Drosophila melanogaster: one gene and its partners. The protein of the gene in region 3 purifies or fractionates together with the protein of the main gene of each other region. This does not show direct contact. Each region holds a gene or a part of one and is shown on either strand. Other genes may lie near its edges.

What was found. Proteins that work in one complex are often made in the same cells at the same time.
Region 1: the proteins of Fas2 (region 3) and pio purify together in Drosophila melanogaster (affinity purification with mass spectrometry, with the first as the bait; 2 studies listed by BioGRID). This does not show direct contact.
Region 2: the proteins of Fas2 (region 3) and dec purify together in Drosophila melanogaster (affinity purification with mass spectrometry, with the first as the bait; 2 studies listed by BioGRID). This does not show direct contact.

Annotation. Positions count from the first base shown.
Region 1 is NT_033778.4:24,579,450-24,585,459, reverse strand, and holds the start of pio (piopio), read right to left. Parts: upstream 4,216-6,010; 5' UTR 4,092-4,215; exon of another isoform or gene 3,620-4,091; 5' UTR 3,382-3,619; intron 1-3,381. Other genes in the region: CG4681 (uncharacterized protein), read left to right, coding at 5,862-6,010.
Region 2 is NC_004354.4:7,866,008-7,875,178, forward strand, and holds dec (defective chorion), read right to left. Parts: upstream 7,216-9,171; 5' UTR 7,141-7,215; coding exon 6,988-7,140; exon of another isoform or gene 6,915-6,987; coding exon 4,499-6,914; intron 4,442-4,498; coding exon 4,179-4,441; intron 3,995-4,178; coding exon of another isoform or gene 3,981-3,994; coding exon 2,040-3,980; 3' UTR 1,897-2,039; coding exon of another isoform or gene 1,227-1,896; 3' UTR 1,192-1,226; downstream 1-1,191. Other genes in the region: Ir7b (ionotropic receptor 7b), read right to left, coding at 1-83, 137-961; Ir7c (ionotropic receptor 7c), read left to right, coding at 8,819-9,171. UniProt on the Drosophila melanogaster protein: Required for proper assembly of the eggshell.
Region 3 is NC_004354.4:4,201,906-4,209,167, forward strand, and holds the start of Fas2 (fasciclin 2), read right to left. Parts: upstream 4,189-7,262; 5' UTR 3,995-4,188; intron 1,582-3,994; 5' UTR 1,356-1,581; coding exon 1,286-1,355; intron 1-1,285.

The DNA of each region.
Region 1 (6,010 bases), on a different chromosome or scaffold from region 3:
AGCCAGCGGATCGGAACGAACCTATAGCCACCCGGCGATTGTCCCAAGGTCAGTGCAATTGTCTCGCCGCAGCCATTGTTCGCCTCAAATGAGCTAACAATGCTGTTAATTTGCTGTTGGCCAATTGCAATAAACGCCAACGCCGATTCCGTTTATAGATTTAATAGATTGGGCCAACGACAGCCGACCAGGCTCTAATGGGCAATTGGCCATTAAGGCAATGTGAGAACTCGAAAATCGCGCATCATTAGGGGGTCTTAAAGTGGAAAAACGCAACTCCACCCTCTTGGCCAAATGCGCTGACCTGGTTGTTGCCACACGCATCAAACTGGAGCGTGGAGACATCGGGTCTTGCCACACACTGTGCGAACCAAGTTTGGGCTTAAGACCAAAAACTGCCCAATGCGTTGCGTGTCACTGCTCTTGCTGCTGTCACGAAGTTATGTAAGTTCTCTGCAAATGGCGAGCTTCTCTGCCATTTGTCAAGATGTCCAATTGGGCTCAAACCAACTGGCCAATATGCAAACCGCTGATTGGACACCCACAATCGCTCGGCCCGCGGCGCTGCCTAAATATATTTTTCTCTCCCATTTTGACGCCTAATTTTTGTGGCCGCAGGCTTGCTTATTGCCACGAAGAAAAAATATGTACGAAATAGCAAAAAAAAAAAAACAAACGGCAAAGAAATTCGCATTGAACGTGACTTGAGCTGAGCTGTAGACATGAATGTGTTTGATTTTTATCAGCCGGGTCTACAATATTTCAGTTTCAGCCATTTATTTTGCTCTTTTTGCTGTTGCCGTGCTTTTTGCCTTTTGACTGGCGCCCATTGTTACCCGCTGTTTTTATGGTTTTTTTTTCTTTCAGCCCAAAGGCACAGCTGAAACTAGTTTTGTAGTTCCGTTTTTGCTTGGCTGGGGTTTCGCGTCTAGAAGTACTAAAAATCCAGCCTCCCAGCTGCTCGTACATTGGCAGCTACTGCTGGTCAGAATCAGCCAAATTCATCATTAAAACTTATTCATTGAGCCCCCTTTTTTTTAAAGCTAATTATTGTTTGTGATGAGGGACTCGACTGATGAGTTCGAGAAATGGGCATTGCTTATTAATGACAGGCCGAGCTGACCTTACGTTTCCCATAATAAGTTTATGCAAGTTTCCTCGGCTCAGTACTTAAGTAACTAACTTTTGAGGAGGATTTCCTCTAAACCATAAATAGTCTCGTACTTGAAGTTAATGAGCGTAGAACTTCACTGAGATAAATCACTTGTAGTGTCATAAATGCTAAACTTAGACATTGATATCATAGACGATCGCTACTATATTACAATAATTTATTTATCTTATATCTTAGTGTCTGAGAACTTAACACACCAAGTATTGGCCACAGTTCTGTGCCCACTTCCTTCGAGCACAGTCCGCAGTTCAAAAGTCTTGGCCTGCCACTCCCCTTTTAAGGCTTGGATTTGAAAGTGTTTGGAATGAATTGAACAACCTCGTGGTCGGTCGACTGCAGTCGCGGGGTTTTGCGTGGGGTTGATCTAAGGTAAAAGCCTGCATTTAAGTCCGCTTGAGTTTGCCAATGTTGGTTTAATTCGCCAGTGGTGGTGGAGGAGGCTGGAGAGTGGGGGATCAACTAGCCAGACGACTTTTCATTTTGGCCGAAAACAAACAAGCAACCCAATGCAGAGTGTCCGTTTAACGGGGGGCAAGCGAAGCTTGTGACTCACGGCTGGGTTTGGGGCACGCCTTTCGCTAGCATTTGGGTTTTTGCATAATTAGTGCTGAGCGCCAACGTGTCGTATGAGTAATGCAGTCGCGAAGTTCGTTGCCTAAGTCTTTCGTTTCAACTGTAAATCAATACCAACGAGCAGGCGGAAATCTAACGCTGAAAAGGTCTTGGCCTGGTTGAATGACCTCACCATTTTTGGCGCTTTCTTTGTTAGTTCTTCCGCGGGAGATTATAAATCAATCACACAGCTTTTGGCAATCAAGCCCACACGCATTTCTCGGCTTAGTTCATAAACCCCCAAAAATCCGTCATATGTCTTCACTTCTCTCACTTAGCTGAGCACACACATCGCCAGGCAGCAAAATAATACGAAATTATACGTACAATCATATTTTCCGTCTTTACCTTATTTTGTGCCCGCTTCAAGGTCACTGCGAGTTGTTGTCTGGCTGTTATATAAACAAGTTAACTACACGATGGCTCAGAAACTGGTATTCGAGCAGCTCGGGCGCAGATTCGCCTTTTAATTATACAAATTTTACGCTTGCGTTGGCGTTCCTCGACGCAAAGCTTTCCGAGAATGCCGGAGAACTTGGAAATATCCAACAGAAGTTGGAGATAAACGCCTTTGGCGGATGAGCCATTATTCACTAGTCAAGGCGTTGTATTCAACGCAGATGAAGACCATTACATTGGCCAACTACAATATTTTGATGGCTAACAAACCACAAATTAACCAATTAATAGGCCATGCATCACCGAAAAGGGAAAGGCCGTGCATCACATTCCCATAGTCCAAAGATGATGCAAGTGTCGGATCGGGATGGGTTCGGGGTTCATCTCTCCATCAATCAACATTTCTAATTGCTTCTTTAGACGCCAACCCGAACACAATGGAACGAACATAATTATGGCTGTGTGATCCGTGGAAGTGCTAAAAGTTCCACAAGGAGAAGAACCCGGTCTCAGCTCATGTGGGTAATGTTGGGTCAGCCAATTAGCAACAGATTCTGGCTTATAATGGCCGCACACGGAGTGGGGGTAAATGTGAATGGACCTTTGATTCCAAGAGCCCGATGACACATTACTTATGCGGTGCGCATCCAGAAATGGGCATTGAAAAACGGGAAAGAAGGCAGGAAAAGCGGATGGAAGACGGATGTCCGTGATGTGGCTACTCAAATAGCCAATTGCCGATGGCCAACCCCATCGCGGCCATATTTGTGTCCCCAGATGATGCAACTGGCTGCGAACTTGGCAGCCAACATCGGCCACTGGCAACCTTGGCAAACAGGTTCAGATCCCCGGACAGATGGCTTCTCAGGCCGCTTTTCAGATAAGGCCCATTTCATTTGCACAGAAAACAGATTGCAACGCTTCTTCAATTTGTTCCCCCGAGTACAAGTATTGGTATTCCGTGAATTCCGAATTTCGAGCGAGGCGAAGTGAAGCCAACCGGTTTGGCTGATGGATTTTTGGCACATCCACAGCGTCGGCGATTTATGAAGTCATCTTTTAAGGCTGTTTTGGGTTTGTTTTTGCAAACGGCACAGCTTTGATTTTCTGCCTGATTTTAACTGTTTCTTTTTGCGGGTTTCGGGTTTCTGGTTATTCGATTATGGCTTTTCAAACAGCAACTCCGCAACACTCACCTCTAGCCAACTTCGCCCTTTTTGCGTAATCCAATTTGTTATGTGTCCGTTGTTGCGATTTCGCTGTGCCTTAAACTGGTTGCCCGGAACGATGATGATTTTAGATATTTTCACGAATTTTGGTTTCACATTAGTTTGATTTTGTTTTTATGTACTTCCTAAGTGTTTTTTTTTTTTTTTGCGGGCTTCCTCTATAATTATTTCGTTTTGTGGCCAACACTCGTTTTACATGTTAACGCTGCGGGAATTGCACATTTAAGAGTTGGCCAAGAGTGGTAAAGAGACGCTAAGAGCTGCTCTTTGTGCGAATTGTGGCAAATAATCCGAGCTGTTGTTGTTGCTGCTGCTGCTGCTGCTATTACGCCGTCTCAACACAAAAGACTGAGGCAACAAACTTCCCGACACTTTTGCACTTCCCCAGAAAACAACGCGAAATATTCAAAAGATTCACAAATCATTCAGCACGTATTTACTGGCCCGGTTCAACCACCCGTCGAGCTTAATCGCTTCCCAAGGGCAACAACAATCAGAGAAAATCACGACAGAAACATCACAGGCACAACAGCAACAACCGCAACTATTTCAAATCTCGGAAACCCATGAACGTCTCTTGGAGCCACGGAAAGCCGTTTCAAATCCACACGCACGATCCAATTAGAACCGGGTAAACGGAGCCATAACCGCAGAGCTACGCCACTCGAAAAACTCACGCACGATTCGGGATCGAAACGAATCGGAATAGCAATCGAAATCGAAGCGATGGGATCGATGGGATAGAGGTTCGTTGAGCGCTGTGGATGTGTCTCGCACACCGACCTGGCCAAGACTGACTGGGCCCGAAACCGAGCCACTCGCACTCCGACGAAAACGCCAAGACGATGGCCGACAACCGGTCTTGCCAAGATTCGGAGTGGCGGCGCTCTGGGATTTTCGGAGCAATTGGCAAGTCTATGTGCGCTCTTCCGACGATCTCTTCACTAAGGCATAGTATAGTATCGCCTCAATTGGCGGTGGCCGCGGTGTCGCTGCCAGTTTTACAGCAGCAACACGTCGTCCAGCTGAGCTGCACTTGATGACCGGCGGGACTGGCGGCCACGCTCCGCTGGCTCCCTTTAATACACCTACGGCTGCGGGTCCAGATTGTCTTTCTAATGAGTGCGGCATAATTAGAGGGTCGGGCGGCGGTCATCCCATATCGCAAGTGTGCACATAGAGAAACATTGGGCTGGAAACCTCAACAAAAAACCCTATATTCCCTAGCTAAGGTTTTTTTAAATTTAAATATTTTTTGCCATATTCTTTAATGTTTGTTTGTGATTAAAATTTATAAAAATGCTTTGATTCGAAGCACTCTAGACTAAGTTTCCAAGTATCCAGGTGGTATCCAAGTGTCTTTGGAGCGCCTCCAGGCCAACGTCATGCTTTCGGCCACAGCTGTGCGCTCGCAACTGGAAGTCAGGTTCTGCTCAAACTTGGCAGCAGATCGGTGCAATTATGGCCAGTGTGTGGGCTGTCACCAGAACACCTTGATGACGGCATATATGGCCACTGGTGGGGCTGACTGCTTGGACTGACGAGGCTTCTCTGTGGGACACATGCTGCTCTTCTTTTGTTTTACTCGGTAGGCACATAAATCTTGAACTTGTCTCTACATTCTGTGAACCCAGCGCCCTTGCAACCTCGAGATCCCAGGTGCGAGTACAGGTAGCTGTGACACCTCGGAGACCCCGAGTTGTTGTTACTTTCTGCCGTATTTCCCTTGAAGCTGCCCGTCGCTGTTTATACTTTAGTTCTATCAATATTTATTATTATTATGCGTGTTCCTCTGTTTCGGTTATACATGTGTGGGGAAAACTTGGATGAAGTGGACGAATTATTCTTTTGAGACGTGAGAGAATTCTACAAGGACTGGGATGGGTAAATCCCTCACCATTTGGCATTATAGGTACTTTACACAAATAAAATATAAGCATATATTTATGAGTGGAAATTTTTTAAATAATTTAAAATGTATTATTTATTTATTATATATTTATGTTAAAATAGTTAAGCAAGCTCTTAAGAGCATGGCCTGCCCACCTTATTGACTATAAATAAATTTAAATAAAAAATTTTCCAACTCCTCAATCCGTCGAAAAGGGGAAGTCCAAGCGACAGTCGTCGGGGGGACAATCGAACAAACCGAAAACCACCCCATTGAACAGCAACAGGACATGGAGTTCCGGAGGGACCAGGCCGATTCCCAAAAGGCGGCCGGGGGATTCAGGACTACGTAGCCGGGGTAACTGTCACTGTTTGGCGTCCGGAAAATTTATTAACTCCAGCCGAATTTATAGTATTAACCTTGATATAGCCGTGTGGAGCTACTAGCAAATTAAATCTGAGAAAAATTCAATGTGTGTAGATTGTCCAGGTCTTTTATCAAATCACAATCGTTGTTGCAAGAAACTTAGCCACCGTCCTCGCATCGACCCACCGTAATGGCCGAGCTTCTGTCCCGCGAGAAGGAGCTCTTTAAGATAAACCAGGAGCTGAATCTCCTGACCCTCAGTCCAGCTGCCGACGCCATGTATCCGGCAAAGGGGTCATCCAAATCCACGGCGGTGGCGGTGCCGCGCTTCGCCACCTT
Region 2 (9,171 bases), 3.7 Mb from region 3:
GACTGGGAGTAGGGAATCTCACTGCCAGCGCTGGGTTTGAAGTGGAATCCACCTAGGGAGAAGTCGGCATGATGGCCAAAGATCTGAAAATTACACAAATTGTATAACAATACCTGGATTTAGATCCAAGACTCACCTCATCGAAAATTCTGCCCGACTCATCGAAAGTGGCCAGCACCTCCTCCTTGTTCATCCAATAGAGACCCACAGTGAAATTTAGATTTTCAGCCATGAACTGAAGCAGAGCACCCTCGATGCCCACAAAGCTGCCACTGCCATCGGGACGCCAAACCAAATAGGGCATATCCTCCCAAGTGGCGCAGGTCAAAAGACAGCCATAGAAATTCCCCAACTTGCTAGGAAAATAATCTTGGCTAGCCCAACGTTTTGTGCCCACTTGGTAGCGATTTACTACATTGGCCGAGATTACCTGGCAGCCGTGTAACGCACTGAATGGAAAGTAACTGACCATGAGGATATGATCGCCAGGTGGACGCAGCACTACGCCCACGTTCAGTACACTTAGTCGCCACAGAAATCGAAGGGTCGCCTGCATCTCCTCACCATATGCATCCGTGGGCATGGACATGTATATCAGTGTGTGCGACAAATCCTGGGTGGCTCGAATCCGAGCGTAGATCGCCGAAAGAGACGGAAGACCATCGACCAGAGCCAAGACAGCATGGACATATGGTTTATACTCCATGGACTGCTGGAGCAAGAGCCTACGTGCCTGCAAATTGTTAGGCACAATCATCAGCACCTGGTCAAGCAGCTCCTCCAAATGGCCACCAGTTGACTGGGAATTTGTGTGGGTGTATATGTACAAGGTCTTGAAGCGACCCATTTCCGAGTTGGCCACCACTTGAGCCAGAGCTTCCGCCAAGTCCCAATCCGAACTGGATTCCATTGTACTGGCCACCAAGGAGCAGCAAGAAAGTATATATAACCAGTACTTCATGGCTAAAGAGTTGCCAAAGGAATGTGTTAATGTGGCCACTTTGGAGTACTGAAGTCTTCAGATCCCCGGGGAAATTTTGGTAATGGCCCGGACCAATCGCGTTAATCATATCACATTAAAGTCGATTCCCTTGGGAAACTAACTTACTGTTAACGATACTGATTTATAGGCTGGCTAAAAAGAGTTGATAGCCCTTACTTTTTTTGGAAAATGTTCTTGTTTCTACATTTATAATATTAATTTTTATTGGCAATTATAATAAAAGTCAATCATCAACATCATCGTCATCGAAATTGAAGTAATCGATGTCGTTCTCATCCCGGCTTTTTTTGCTGCTGAATCCCCTAGGTTCACTGCTCTCGCTGGGCTCTTCCACATCCCGGTCATCCTCCTCATCCGGTTCTGGTTCGGGATCTTTCTCTAAAGAATCGTTGGTCTCGTCCTCGAACAGGCTACGCTCAGCGGCTCCCAATTCGAAGACGGGTTCGTCCTCATTCTTGGGCTTGGTCTTAGTTTTCGGCTTAGAAATCTTGCCCAGAACCGGAGGCTGTACCTCTACACGGGTAAGATTCGTATGGTGATTCAGCATACCCTTGTACAAATGGGGAAATCTACGCTGGAAATCCATCTTGATCCGAAGAAGTCTCTCCAACATGCCGGGTGTCAGGATGCCATGCTGCGTACCTTGACCCATGATGTGCGTGTCCCTTCGATGGCGACCGTCCCTCAGATAGGCATCGTAGCTCCCACCGCCCGTGTAGAGAGGATGGTGAGGATCGTATGGCTTCTGGTTCCACGGATCATCGGGCCTCTCCACCGGCAGCAGACCCATAAACGGATGCAGCAATCCCTCGCCGTAGGTGAAAATGGAACCCACTTGGGGGTCAGATGATGGTGCGTTTTCGATTTCGGTTTCGGATGGTGCTGATGATGGACTGGCGATATGGACGAGGGATATGCAAATGAAAGATGGATGGATATGAATGAATTGCGAACGAATAGTGAATATGCTTATACTATATCTAAATTATGTATAGGATTAGTTGGGATCTGTGAATTAGTTAAATGGGCTGAAATCTTATGCTTTCGTTTGAATGGGACTCCTGATGGTCGTGGCAATAGACTTGTGTTGCCTCCTGCGCAACCTTTTTCGCTTGATGACTTTGACGGGCTTAATAGATTTGGGTTTGGTTTTCGAAAGGTTATTGCTCTGGGTTCTTAATAGGCTGGATTTTTTCTCCTTTTGAATTTGCAGGCGCACCAGATCCTTGAGCACATCCACCAAACTGTCCAGCTTAGTGCTGCTCACGGTGGCCTGCGTAGTCACCTGCGAGCTCTGCTTTTTCGGCTTGGACATGGACTTCTTGGGTCGTTGGGGCATTTTCGCTTGACGAGGAGATCGTACCCATACCTCGTCGCTCGCCTTTCCTATCTTTGGAATGGGAACCCTTCTTGCCGTGCTCCTCCGTCTCACAAACTTTCCCCTCATCGCGTACGGAGAGGGTGTGGTGGTGGTGGTGGTGCCATCGCTCGAATCGCTTCCACTATCATTTAGGGCCGCATTGAGCAGCTGCGCCTGTTGTTTCACACTTAAAGCCCTTTTAGCCTTGCCCTCCGTATCCGTGCTGGGTTCATCTGCTTGGAACTCCGGATAGGGGCCATACTCTTGGCTGCCATTTCCATCGTAATTGCAGTTCTTGGGCATCTCCAGGTTTTGACCCTGGGCAAACTGACGCTCATGGGATTTGGTTAGGTAGTCCGTGTCATAGCCACGATTGGCCAGAATGCGTTGCCAATTGTTATCGTCGTCGTAGTCCAGTTTATTGGACGAGCCACTTTGTTCATCCACTCTAGGCGATCCAAGGGAAAGTCCAGGTTTTGTTGAGTAACTACCACTTGGTGAAGGAGTCTCTGTGGTCGTACTAATAGAGGTACTATCCTCGTCCTCTTCCAGCTCTTCCTCCTGCTCCACTGGGGCTTGCTCTTCGGCAATCACTTTCTCCTCCACCTTTGGCTTATCCTCCTGCTTGGATGGTTCCTCCACCACGGGTGGGTTCTTCTCTGTGACCGGTTCTTTGGCCACATTGTTTGATATTATCGTGCTGCAACGCAAATTCAGTTTAAGGATCTCATTCTTCAGCTCCTCCACAATACTGTGCAGCTGATGAATCTCGGCCTCCTGCTTCGATATCGACTTGGTGACATGAGAACTCTCAGCCTCAGCCTGTGAGTCTTGCTGCATGTCCAGTCCCTCATCTTTGGTGCTTTCGGTTGTTGTTGTTGTGGATGTGCTAGTGGTGGTGGTGACTTCAGGTGTCACAGTTGCTTCTGAAGTAGAGTCACTGCCTGTTGGAGTGGCAGCTTCTGTGGTACTTGTGATCGGAGATGCTGTGGAAGTGGTTAGCCGCACAAAGTCCTTATGATTGTACTGGGGCTCTGTGTTGGGATCATGCTGTAGTTGCTCCTCCTCCATGGGCTCCTGTTGCGCATCCTCTTCATACTGATCCCCACCGATCTCCAGCGGTTCCATACTGGCTCGCTCCAAAGCTTCGCGAATGGAGGCCGCATTGTAGCGCATCAGGGCCTCGGCGGGATCTTCATCTGGACTCAGCGTGATCTCTTTTAGTCCCAGTTTATATTCTCTTCTAAGTTCGTTAAGAGAACCCTCATCGATGGTCTCCAAGGTTCCATATTCAACGCTACGCTTGTTCCGGTGACTGGCTTTGCACTGGCAAGTTCCCGAAGTTCTACTAGAAACCACTCTAGATTCCAAGCCTCTTCTTCCGCATCGACAACTCCTGCCGCACAGACAATCCAACCTGCCACATCCGCAACCCTTGGATGTGGTCGCATTTAACCCTGCCTCTCGCCCAAACCTGTGGAAATGTGCTAACCTTTTGTGGACTCGATGCTCTTGCGGTTGCTCTTGTGGAGCTGGTGTCAACGTCGTTGGAGGATTAGAGTTGCTCTTCTGGCTCTCCGATCCACCGACTTCGCCTGGTTGCTTCGGGTTTATTGTCTGAAATGCGTCGCCTGTTTAATGCCATGAGAAAAAGGCGAATGAATCGTATGAAATGGATCAAATGAAGGCAACTGTCTACATGTTCCAGTGTATGGCTGTGTGTGTTTGTGTGTGTGTGTGGTTGTGGTGCTCAATGTGGTGTGGTTGTAGTGGTGTCTGGTATATCCGAGTGGTTTAACACTAATCTCAACTTACCCTGGCCATTGTCTGGTGCTGGCGCAACATCTCATCTACCTCATCGTTACCCACGGCAGCCCTGTAGCCTTGACTTTGATACGAATTGACTGGACGAGGAACACCATAGGCATTCGATCCATAGCCACCTCCGCCGTAGCTTGTTCCGTAACTCTGAACCACCGGACGCTGGGGTGCCGCATAGTAATAGTTAATTACCGTTGGCGGCGCCGACTTGGACTTGGACTTCTTGCGCTTGTTGCCGCCAACTCCCAGGGCATCGACTGTGGGAGAGACAGATGGCACTGAGTCAGGATTGCGAAAGACTCCGAAGAGATTACCTTTGTGCCTGGCGGTGCCTTCGTTCTCCGGCATTTGGGGTCCCGCCTCGCCAACTAAGTCATCCTCTGCCTTATTATCTTCGTCCTCTACTTCACGCTGCATCATCGATGGCATCTGCTGCTGCATCATCATGGGCCCTTGCTGCTGGACAGACTGGGGGTTCTCCTCCGCCCACTGGCGCTCCTTCATCATCATGGGGGTCTGCTGCATCATCTGTCTCTGCTGCTGTTGAATCTGGGCCTGATCCTCCGACCATTGTCTTTGCTGCATCTGCTGCATCATCATTTGATTCTGTTGTGCCATCTGCTGAGCCTGTTCGATTTTGGTCTGCTCCTCGGACCATTGCCTTTGCTGCATCATTTGCGGATTCTCTGCCATCTGTCGCTGCTGTTGCATCATTGGATTCTGTTGGGCCATTTGCATCCTGGTCTGATCTTCTGCCCACTGCCTCTGTTGCATCTGCTGAACCATTTGGGGATCCTCTGTCCACTGCCTTTGTTGCATCTGTGGCATCATCATGGGTGTCTGTTGGGCCATCTGTTGAGCCTGCTGAATTTTGGCCTGATCTTCTGACCACTGCCTTTGCCTCTGCTCCGTCATCATGAGACCTTGCTGTGCCATCTGTTGTGCCATCTGTTGATCATGCTGAATCTTGGCCTGCTCCTCCGACCATTGTCTTTGCTGCATCATCATTGGATTTTGCTGGATCTGCTGTTGATTCTGTTGGATCTTGGCCTGCTCCTCCGACCATTGTCTTTGCTGCACCATCATTGGATTTTGCTGGATCTGCTGTTGATTCTGTTGGATCTTAGCCTGCTCCTCCGACCATTGTCTTTGCTGCATCATCATTGGATTTTGCTGGATCTGCTGTTGATTCTGTTGGATCTTGGCCTGCTCCTCCGACCATTGTCGTTGCTGCATCATCATTGGATTTTGCTGGATCTGCTGTTGATTCTGTTGGATCTTGGCCTGCTCCTCCGACCATTGTCGTTGCTGCATCATCATTGGATTTTGCTGGATCTGCTGTTGATTCTGTTGGATCTTGGCCTGCTCCTCCGACCATTGTCTTTGCTGCATCATCATTGGATTCTGTTCCGTCCTGTAGGCCGCGTAAACCTTGTCCTGCTTGCCCTTCTCGCTCTCCATCTGTTCGTTGGCCATGCGATAGGCATACGCCATAATCTGGACGATATCCTCCTTGGACAGAGTCTGATCCTGGGATTTGGCCTGTCGCTTCAAGGCATTTGCCTTCTGGGTGTTTATGCCGGAATTTCTAGCCCTTCGTTGCGCTTCCTTGTTGACCAATCGGCGGACATAATCATCCCGAAGGGCTTGCTCAATATCAGCACGGGTGATCTTGTGAATGGGTGTCCGACTCAGTGGATAACTGATTCTGTAGGGTGAATCTCCGTTTTGAGCTGCGGCGCTGGACCTCATCTGCTTAGCCATAAGTTCGATCTTCTGCAGCATTCTCAATTCGGCTATCACCTGGCGCTCGAATGCCCTCAATTTGGCCTCGACCCGCAGATCCTCCAGAGTCTTTTCTTCAGTCGCATCCTGATTCTGAGTTGTGGGCATTCGGAACCAGAGGAGAGGCACTTGCTCCTGATCCTTGACCTGAGCCTGTTGTTGCCTCTCCTGCTCCATTTCAAGTGCCGATTTGATCTTCATCTGTGCCTCTTGCGAATACGGATCCTCAGGACGTACCCTTACCTCGGAAATGTCGGAGGCCTGGGCATCCGTGCCAGCGGCAGCAGGTTGTGCCGGTGTCATTCCTGGGAAGAATTGCCTTTGCATTTGAGCGACGAAATCAAGATTTGGAGGAGCAAATGTGGGTACACTCTGGCCCAGAAGACTGGAGGCATCAAAGTTAGCCGGGTTAAAGAAGGTGAAAGCGTTCTGCAGAGCGGCTTGTCCCAGTATGGCTGGTTGGGGTGCATCTGGAACAGGTGCTGCCGGAGGATCTGCAGCTGGAGCTGGCGCCGGAGGAGGAGCAGCAGCGGGAGCAGGAGCTGGAGCAGGAACTGGAGCAGCGGCACCCAGAAGACCAGGCACGGTAGGCATAGCAGGCAGTTGGGCCAAAAACGAGCCCACTTGCGGTCCCAGATCCATGGAAGGCAGTTGGAAGTCCTGCGGCAGAGCGGGCCAATTCATTAGCTGACCAAGTGGATTTGGTGGCGGATTTTGACGGGCAACTCGAGTCTTGGCCGTCGCATCATCGGCCAGGACAAGGACCACCTTGGAGGCTGCCGCTGTAGGCTGTAGATTGTCGGGAATGGCGCCCAGAATCGAGTAGGCTGGGAAAAGGCTGCCCCACTTGAGCAGGCTGCCCAACGCCGGGAACATCATGTAAAATGCGTCCATCTGGGGATTGCCAGTGCGGATGGGATTAATGGACGGCATCTGGCCAAGGATCTGAATTGAAAAATATAATCAAGAGGATTGCATTAAACAAACTCAATGATTAATTCTCTCTAATCGTACTCACCTCATCCTGACTGGGAATCCTTGGTTTGGTGTCCGTGGTGGAATTGGTCGTTGATCCAGCATCCGTTGCAGGATCATCAGAGGTTACTTCACTTTGTCCGGCAGCCTGGACGACAAGAAGCGCCAGGAGCGGCAGAAGGCTAAACAATCTCATCCTGTATTTGGGCAAAACTCGGAAAAATCGCTAAAGATCGATCTGTGTTCGCCGGAGCTCGTTGGCCGACTGACTGCCGACTGCCGCCGGTTAGTGGTCCAAATAGATTTTTTGCCACCGCGTCGGCGGCGAAGAACTGCAGACGTCTTCAAAATCGTGACCCGGACCCGGGTCCGCCACACGCACCGGGGTACGGCCAGTGTTTCCGTGTGTGTGCCCCCAATTGAAAAACAGACCGCAGCAGCCGTCGCAGCTGCATTTGCTGCAAAAAACCTTGCCCAACTATTCCGCTCACCACCATTTTCCACGAATTCAGCGCAAATGATGCACAGTAGACAGTATGAACGAAATCAGGTCTGGAATCACACGGAAGGCGCCGAAAATATACCACAAAGCCGCGAAATCAATAGGGGAAGTTATCTTCACGTCACTCTTTTGCCACTAATAATTCTCAACTAAAAAAAAAAAAAACAAACAATTGAAATAAATATTTAAACAAAAACTTTCTTTAAGGAAACGGTAATATTATAACATTTAAAGAGTCATTATGAAAGATAGAAATACACTGCAGCGCAATCCGCCCCTGATTTTTGTTGAGGGCCGTGGTGTGTCTGCCCTTCAAGCGTCGATCCGTAGAATTCTTGCGATCGTCTTATGGTTTATGTGTCACCAGAAGCACCACCAACACCACCACCGTGGTTTGCTGAGGTCAGCGGTGGTTCAGCTTGTAGACACGACACGAGAAACAAAAGCTTCTGTCATCGCAGCGGGTGGCTTTTGTGGAGGTCAGCAAAAAGTGCGAAACGAAACTCGGTACAGCGACCTTTGGCTGGCTCCGATTTGGTTTCGGATTAACGCAGACTCTGATCTTTATAAAATTACTCATGAGCCGCAGCTATCTCACATTTAATCACGATTCCGGCGACTGAAATGCGTAAGCTGCCTAAGAAAAAACTCATTGAATTAAAATCTTAATATTATTCACAACACAGGTGTGGTTTTGTATGGCAAAGAATCAAATACATTTTTTGACTATAATTGATATCTTACAACTCTTTTTTTTTATTTATTTTTGAATAACCCTTGAGCTCTGCAAAATTATGTCAGGCTTGTCAAAAAGCAAAAAAAAAAAAAGCAATGCAAAGGTGTTAAAAAATATGTTTAGTAATTATTGGCATATTGCCAATGTAATCAAATATTTTCCATAACCTACATTCAAGTATATTTACCGTGCCCTTTTTGTATTTACACAAGAAATGTGAAAGCAATAAACATCGATGTGTATACGGCTTTTTGGATTTTATATATTTAAAGTTAATTTATTGTGCATTTGCATTTTCAGATTTCGCCGATAGAGCTTTCAGCACGCAATTTGACCCGTCAGTTAAGTGATTCCTGTTTAGATACTAGTAACGAGCTGATGCACAGAAAAAAATGCCAAGTGTTATGAGAACTGCTATTCAAATATGCATAAAACAAATTATTTACAAAAATCATTATTATAATAATGAAACAATATTTACGAGTAGTACTTTTTCTACGATGTAAAACCTTTAGTAATCAGAATGTTTTGGCATCACACTCATCAATTAATATTTCCAGCGTTGCAAACCCGTCATGCGATGGAGTTGGCCAAAGTGCAGGACATCAGTTTGCTAGGAGCCACCGATGAAACACGATGTTGCACAGCGCCGTGCACAATGTGAGCCTGGTTTACGCCCTCGTTTGGGCCATAGATAACTACTATGGAATGGCCACCAGCACACCACTGGCTGTGGTGCAATTCCCCACGAGTCGGGAAAGTAGAAGACTGCACAACGATCTGATAGATGCCGCCCTGGGCAGATCATCGGGCACGGGAAGAATTCAGTTTCTGCTGGAGGATGACCGTGTGGAGATGACGGAAACCGATACGGATCCGCCACCTCCAAGTGGATTAACGGGCAGACCCATTGCTATCTGGTTCCTGGACAGTTTGCGATCATACTTTCGCTTGGAGATGTACCTGAATCAGTTGGGCAGTCCGTACAA
Region 3 (7,262 bases):
AATTGTAGAAAGCGCTGCGGAGCACAAGGGGCGAAGAAACTGAGTTAATTAAATTCGACTTTCTGCGGTATTAGAACATTTTAAGAGGCCTCGCTGAGAAATTCTCCGCCAGCATCAGCTTTTGTGGTCCAAACCGGATGCGGTAATTGCTGGGAAGTCGACGCTGGACTCTTCTTGACTTTACCAACTTTGCCAAGAAGTTTGCGACGCAACAAACTCTGTCTGAGTTATGAATCTTCCCAGTCGATATAACTAACTTCACATTTGCTGCTAGTCAGTCCGGTTTAATGGGTTTAAAGCTAATTTCAATCTGCGTTTCTATGTTCTATCTTTTGGTCCATCATTTGTTAATCAGTTAATAATTATATAAGCTGTGTTTGCACCTTGTTTTTTTTCTTTCTAATTTTTGGTCTTAGGCCTAATTAGCTGATTATTTTCAATAGTTTCTTTACTCATTTCAGGAAATGTTCCCAAAATCCAAAGAATCATGGCAACCAAGTCTTATTTATTATTTAACAGGCAACTCTTGCGCAATAGTTATCAGCGTTTGTTTGTCCCAATTTTACGGCTCCAAAGTCAGGTGCCGGAATTTTAGGAGTATCTGCGATTGTAATTCCCTCATGTTAACTGAAAAATTTACGATATTTGACCAGCCACGGATATGGTCTGCTCTAAGGTAAAGTAAATATTGACTCTAGTCTCTTCTGGGAGATTGCGATAAGGTAAAAGATGATTTTAGTTTTCGTGGGATGTTATTTTCTTATATTTCCTTAGGTCTCTATTTGCTTAGCGTTCGTTTCAGGGTCGCCTATCATCAGGTACATAAGTGCAAGTGCTCAGGTAATTTGTCTGCCTAAATCTTGTGCTATCTATCATATAGGGAAACAACAACGATTTGATATGACCCTCTCGACTGATAAGCGGATTTAAGCTAAGTCAAAAGACCTCTGGTTAGCCATAATTGTGGCTTTATAATACAAACGCTTGCCGTTTGGTTACATTGGTATATTGCCAACTAAGCTAATGATATGTCAATTTTTTGGAATGATAGTTACCAGCCAGGTGGAAAATTTAGGGCATCACAAAGGTGATGATGTGACACAACTATTGAGATTAAAGGTGTTAATTCTATTTCTCCGGCTTAGTTTTTTCTTTTCAAAGGAGAAGCGGCCATAAATTTTCGACTTTAGCACAATTCGTGCGTTTGGGTTCTATTTCTAATTATAATACCAAATTGAAAAGCACATATTGGGAATTCGGGGAGCGTTTTTATACCCGTACTCACCTATTAAAGAGCAGCTGCAGAGGAGCAGCGCCAAAAAGACGCCGACTGAATTTGGCGGCAATTCACCCATTTTTATCGCTGTTTTTGCAGTTGTAGTAGTTTTCTAGTTTTCCCCGCTCGCAAATAGCTCTCGTTTTAACTTCTTTGGTTTGTTTACGGTTGCACACGAAAAAAATGTTTAAAAAATTTCAGTTTGTTTTCGCTGCTCGTGATTGCACAAATTATTCTATTCTGATTAACACTTTGCGTTCGGTGTCTTTTGTTTTTTTTTCTTTTGTCTGTTTCGGTGTGTGAATCTGAAAGTATATTGATAATGAAAGAAAGATGAATTAGCTAAGCTTTTAATAGTAATATAGATAGGGTTTTTTTTTAGTTTAAATTCATGGTAACTGGCTTTTGTGGTTAGTCAGATTGGGCCTTAGAAGTTCATCTGCATTTGATATTTGTCATAACTTTAGCATTTTAGCTTCAAATGGCAAATGTTGGCATTTATGGGCGAGGAGAAGAGGAAGAAGGCAGTGCAAGCGAGACAGCGCGAGCCGATGTTGTGTGCGTGTGTGCCTTGTCTCTTTTGCATTCTCTAAAATCGGCGGCGGCAGCGAAGAAGAAAAAAAATGAGAAAGGAAAACGAAGAAAATAAAACTTGCTGCGCCGCCGACTTCGCACATGTTGGCCAGTTTTTGTAACGGAAATTACGGTGCTCTCGGCAGTCGAAACACGTAGTGCAGGGGAAATATGGTAGGAGCAACACAGACACAAGGGGTAAGGGAGGGAAGGGGGGCTTTGGATAAGGTAGGAGAGGATTGCTTAAGCTGAATTTTATCTATAAGTTTGTGTTCTCAGTAGATCGTTATCTTTTGGGTTCGAGAGCGAAATGTATATTTCTTATCGGCACATAAGTTCGTGCGTCTCTCCAATAATTCATGACTCAAGCTTTGTCTCTCTCGCTCTCTTTCGCCTTCTCTCTCTCTCTATGTCTACTGAAGTTGCACCTATGCTGAGTGTCCTTGAATTGCAACAAGTTCTAAAGTACAGTTATCGCTCGCTTTAGAGAATATCGTAAACCAAATAAAAAACGGTTGAGTTATAGAATTGAACGTGACTTCAATGCAATGACTAATAATAAAGGTAGAATAAGTGATCAATAAAAGTTAATTTTCATTTACAGTGACGCCTTGCAAGCAGTGCTCTTTTTTTTTTTTTTTTGAAAACTCATAACAGTCCTAGCAACAAAAAATATTTGCATGCAGGCGAGGGAAAACTGTAGTTACTTCCTCGCGAGCTCGTCTTGCCACTAATCCCGCCCACTTTGCACAGCGGAACTTTCCCACCGCACCCCCTCATTTGGCTTACGGTTATTACAGTTACTGGATAATCGATATTTAGGGCAGGCCTTGACTTTTTTTTTCATAGGAACCGCGCGTATGTGTGTCTGCGGCACGCGAAATATTCTTGAGAATATTTCGCTTTCATCTCGCTTCATTCTTGCTTTTGGCAAATTGAGACATTGTTACAAAATACCCGCGAAGCAGTTTTAAATATTCATAAAGTTTCGAAAACGCTAATTATAATGAGAGACTTGGCCAGAGGGGAAGTTCTGGCAACGGTAGAGTTTTTGTGAATCTGTTCAAGTTGCACAAAGTTTAGAAGTTTTCCACTTGATATTCGTGAATTATTAATGCTGTCAAATGATTTGATTTTGACTTTCGGCGCGACCGACAAATTGTAATTACATCTGCCGTTTTGATTGCCTAGAATTGGACGAACTCAATAGGATTTTGTAGTCTTAATTAAAATATGGCTCGGTTAGGTTTGATAAAACGCAATAAACTAATTTATTAATGCGAAACTAACATCTTGTTCGAAAAACTGCCAAAAGTAAAGCGGCAAAAGTTTTCAAATAAGCACTCTATGAAGTCGATGAAGTTAATTTACCAACTTTGAGTTTATTCCGACTTGTTAACAGTTTAAACAAATATTTTTAATCACATTAAAACTTTTGCAGAAAGCCGCAGCAAACGAAATAAACTTTTTGATATGCGACATAAAGGCAATTTTGACAGACAAAGGAAAAACGAAACCGACTGAAATTGGTCGTGAAATTTGAGAATCTATTCTTTTCTATTTTTTTTTTTTTTTGTTCTGTGGTTAACATTCCAGATTAGTTGTGGAATCAATTTGCCCGGCTTTTCCTAATTCTTAACGTGTTTCTTTTTTGTATGTTTCATATTTCCTATTTGCCAGCTGCAAGCGTGAGTCAATTTCCAGTGCACACTGTTGGTAGTAACAACAATAAAGTTGGCAGCGAAGCGGGCCCAAAAACCTGTTTTCCGTTTTATTTTTCTTGCTTTTCAGGTGATGTTGCTCTTTTTTTTCATATTTGTTGTATGCACTTTTCCAACTCGATTATTGGGTGAGTTTTCAAAGGGTTTTCATGGAGGTTTTCATTGAAATAACTTTTGCACGTGACTCATTGGAATCTTGGGCTAAAACAACAAAACAGCATAGACTCAGCAGAGCGAGAGAGATACATTTGTGTATTTTTTGTCACACGCTAAAAAAAAAGTTTTGAAAAAAAAAATATGTACAAGAATGCCGCCAGTTTATTTTTGGTTTTTGTGGAGCTGTCTCGACATGTTTTTTGAGTTCTTCTCATGCACGGCCAAATAATGGCTGTTATGAGCAGTTATTATTATTATTTATTATTACCAATTTCTCATTGTTTAACTGGCACACTAACACACACGCACACGACGCGCCACGACCGTTAACACATACGGTGAAGAGAGCGCGAGAGAATGCGAGTATGAAGAAGAAGAACCACTTCTGTTGTCTCTATTTGTGTTTTTCTTTCTCTCAGCAAGCAGAGCACTCGACGCGTTGGCCGTCGAAACGTAACTGAAAGCACCGCTAGCGCTGCCGCCGCAAAATACCACAGCTATTGCCGCGCCACAAGATCTGGCAACCCCAAATGTTGCCAGCCGATGCGACGCAGCATGTTGCCAACCGAAAGTAATCAAGCAAGGGAGATGGTAGAAGTTTAAGAAGTAAAGTGCATAGATAATAGCAATTTATAAAACCGAAAATCTGAGCTCTTTTAAAATGAAATTAATTTACATAAATAACGTAATAAGTGCACAGGAATATTAATATCAGTTATTGGCCAAATATGTTTTCAGTGGAGACTAAAAGAGATGGAGAGTGTCTACCGTTAGGCGGCGAAGAATTCAGCTCTTTTCTTCTCGAGTGTCAGCAAGGTCAAACGACAATGGGCGGAGAAACTGGGCGGTGGCACTTAAGCCCCATTTCGTCACTTTTACGAGCGACTGGTGTCAGGTTTTTTGACACGTTTTTGTTGCCCAATCTTTGTGGAGCTTTGTCAACAAACTTTCAGAACGAAGCATTAAAAATGTAACTACTTTATTCGGGGGCACATTTAAAAGAGCTACACGTATGTACATATATTACGCAAAGTGTGCTATCGCGAGGAGATGATGTCTAGCTAAGGTTTTTCCGATTGATATGCAAGATGAAAATCTCACACTTCGATAAGTTTTGTAAGAATATTCGGGAACACTATCTAAACATCCTTCGAAGTTAGCAGCATGTTGCCGAAACCTCTTGCAACATTTCGAAATGAGGAAAACCAAAGTTTAACGTCTTATTTTTCGGCACAGCATTTTACGATCTTGCTGTCGAAGTAACCGACGAATGCTGGGGGGAAAATCGGGCGGGTATGCAAGACGAATTTTCCGGCTGGCAACATTTCGGATATTTCGGAGACGGCCACTTGTTGCCCGCGCAACATCGAGATTCGATTCCAAACAAAAACTTCTTTTATTTTCAATTGCCGCGCTGTCAATTAAACCAGCCTGCGGAAAAATCGTGACGAGGGGGGTGATTTTCCCCGGTTAAGTGGAAACAAAAAAAAAAATCGCAGTTACGTTTGAATGCGCTGTGTGCAATTTACTAAATGAAATTGCGTATAGATGCCAATGCGATGTATTCTGCAGTTATCATTGTTGTTTTGTTTCGTTTGTCGTTTGTGTGACGGAGCAATTTATCACCGTATACAGAGGGGATATATGTACCTACATATATCTATATACCAGCGACACCCCTCCCCCGCCAGAATCACCAATAAGTGATTTATAGGATTGTTATTTTGTCGTTGATGTCGCACTTTCGCTGCGCTTTATTTATTGCTCGGAATCTTCCTCTATCTCCCACACACAAAACAAAAACCCGATACGCCCGATTCGCCCGATTTGGAGTGCGTTAATTTTATTTCACAGCCGGCCGAATTTTCCGAACTTTTCACAGATGAATATTGAATTGATCGGCTGGCTGTGGGAACTATGGTGACAATCGTTCTTCACGCTTAATTTGCTAATGCGTTCGACCTTTGACCCATGATGTGCCAACGATGTGAACATTTTGGCTATCAACAAATAGGATTTAACACGATTGCATTTAAATGTATTGGCGATTTAAAAAGCAAGAATGTAATATAAAGAAATTAGAACATAAATATAAATAAATAAGTAATTATTTTAAGAATCTTTGGTCTTGGCACCAGTAATCTGATGTAAAAACAAAGGAAATATGCCCATTTCCCGCCGAGAACTGCAATTATTTAACAATTATGGGAACCAGTGAACAATGGCGATAGTTTATATGTTGTTCAAGCCTACTTGAAATGGTTTCGCCTGACCTGTGACCCCGAAATCCGACTATCTGCTACCTGATTTGAAGCCAGCCAGCCAGACAAATGAAGACGTCGATTTAGTTTTCGGATGGGTGGTCCTCGAATCAATCTCCAGCTATCTCGGCAATTCTGTTCCAATTTGTAGCCCGGATTGAGTTCGTTTTTTTTTTTTTTTTTTTTTTTTGTTGAACACCTGCATTTTTTGGTGGTGCATCGAGAATAGGTTCTCAAATGACGGTAACCGCAGCCCGAGATCATTAGAAAATGTTTAATAACTCTATAAGCAATTAGATACGAAGAGCTCCCCGCGCAATCCGCACCATTTCTGACAGGTTTTGTCCGCACCGAAGAACCAAAACTCAATTCCAATCTCGTTCTTGGCCAGAAACTTAAGCTGGGAATCATTAGTCCACAGGAACGACAGCCATTGAGCGGCCAAAATGATGAATTATGTTTTCAAATCGAACTCACAAAGCACAAATGTCGGGTACAGATACAAAGTGCATATCTATAGATACACTGCGGCACTTACATACAAATATGGACCAAGGGCCGGAGGTGCTAACGTCGGATGCCCAATAATTAATTGATATTTAAGCATTCGCATCATGAGTTCATTTTACCACGACTTGACGGCAGAAATCAAAGATGCACTCGGCCTGGAGAAAACAAACAAAAATTTATGGTATTATGCCTCTAACTTGGATCAGATTGATTCTTGAAGGATGTTGGCCCCAACTGAATGCCATAAATTATATTATAAGATAAAATCTTATTTACTTTATAATCACTTGTTTTACATTAAAAGAGTTTTAAGGGATCGTTTGTACTATTTTCGTAATGACACTTCTGCTGTTTTTCTAGGAGTTTATTACATTTAAGCCCTCGGTTGCCACAAATGGGTTAATGAGTATCTATTGCCATGGACATGGAACATGGAAACCCCTCAACTTTTTGGAGTGCGCCCACCGAACCCTTCTGTTATTATTATACCATTAAATGGCCCACTCTTTTCTCCAAATAACCCTAGACCCCAGGAGAACCAAAAACAAGTCGATGAGCCTCATCGCTTTGGTCTTTTCAAAAAGCAGTCTCATTAAACCATCAGGACAATAAATGGACACGAAATATTTTCACAGTTGACCTTTAATGGGCTCAACCCTGAACCCCAAACCCCTCGCAATACGAAAATTCCCCGCAACGTTCTAAACTTTCCAACTTCCGTCCGAATGGCAACCGCAAAAATCCGAACAACTATGCTAGGTATTC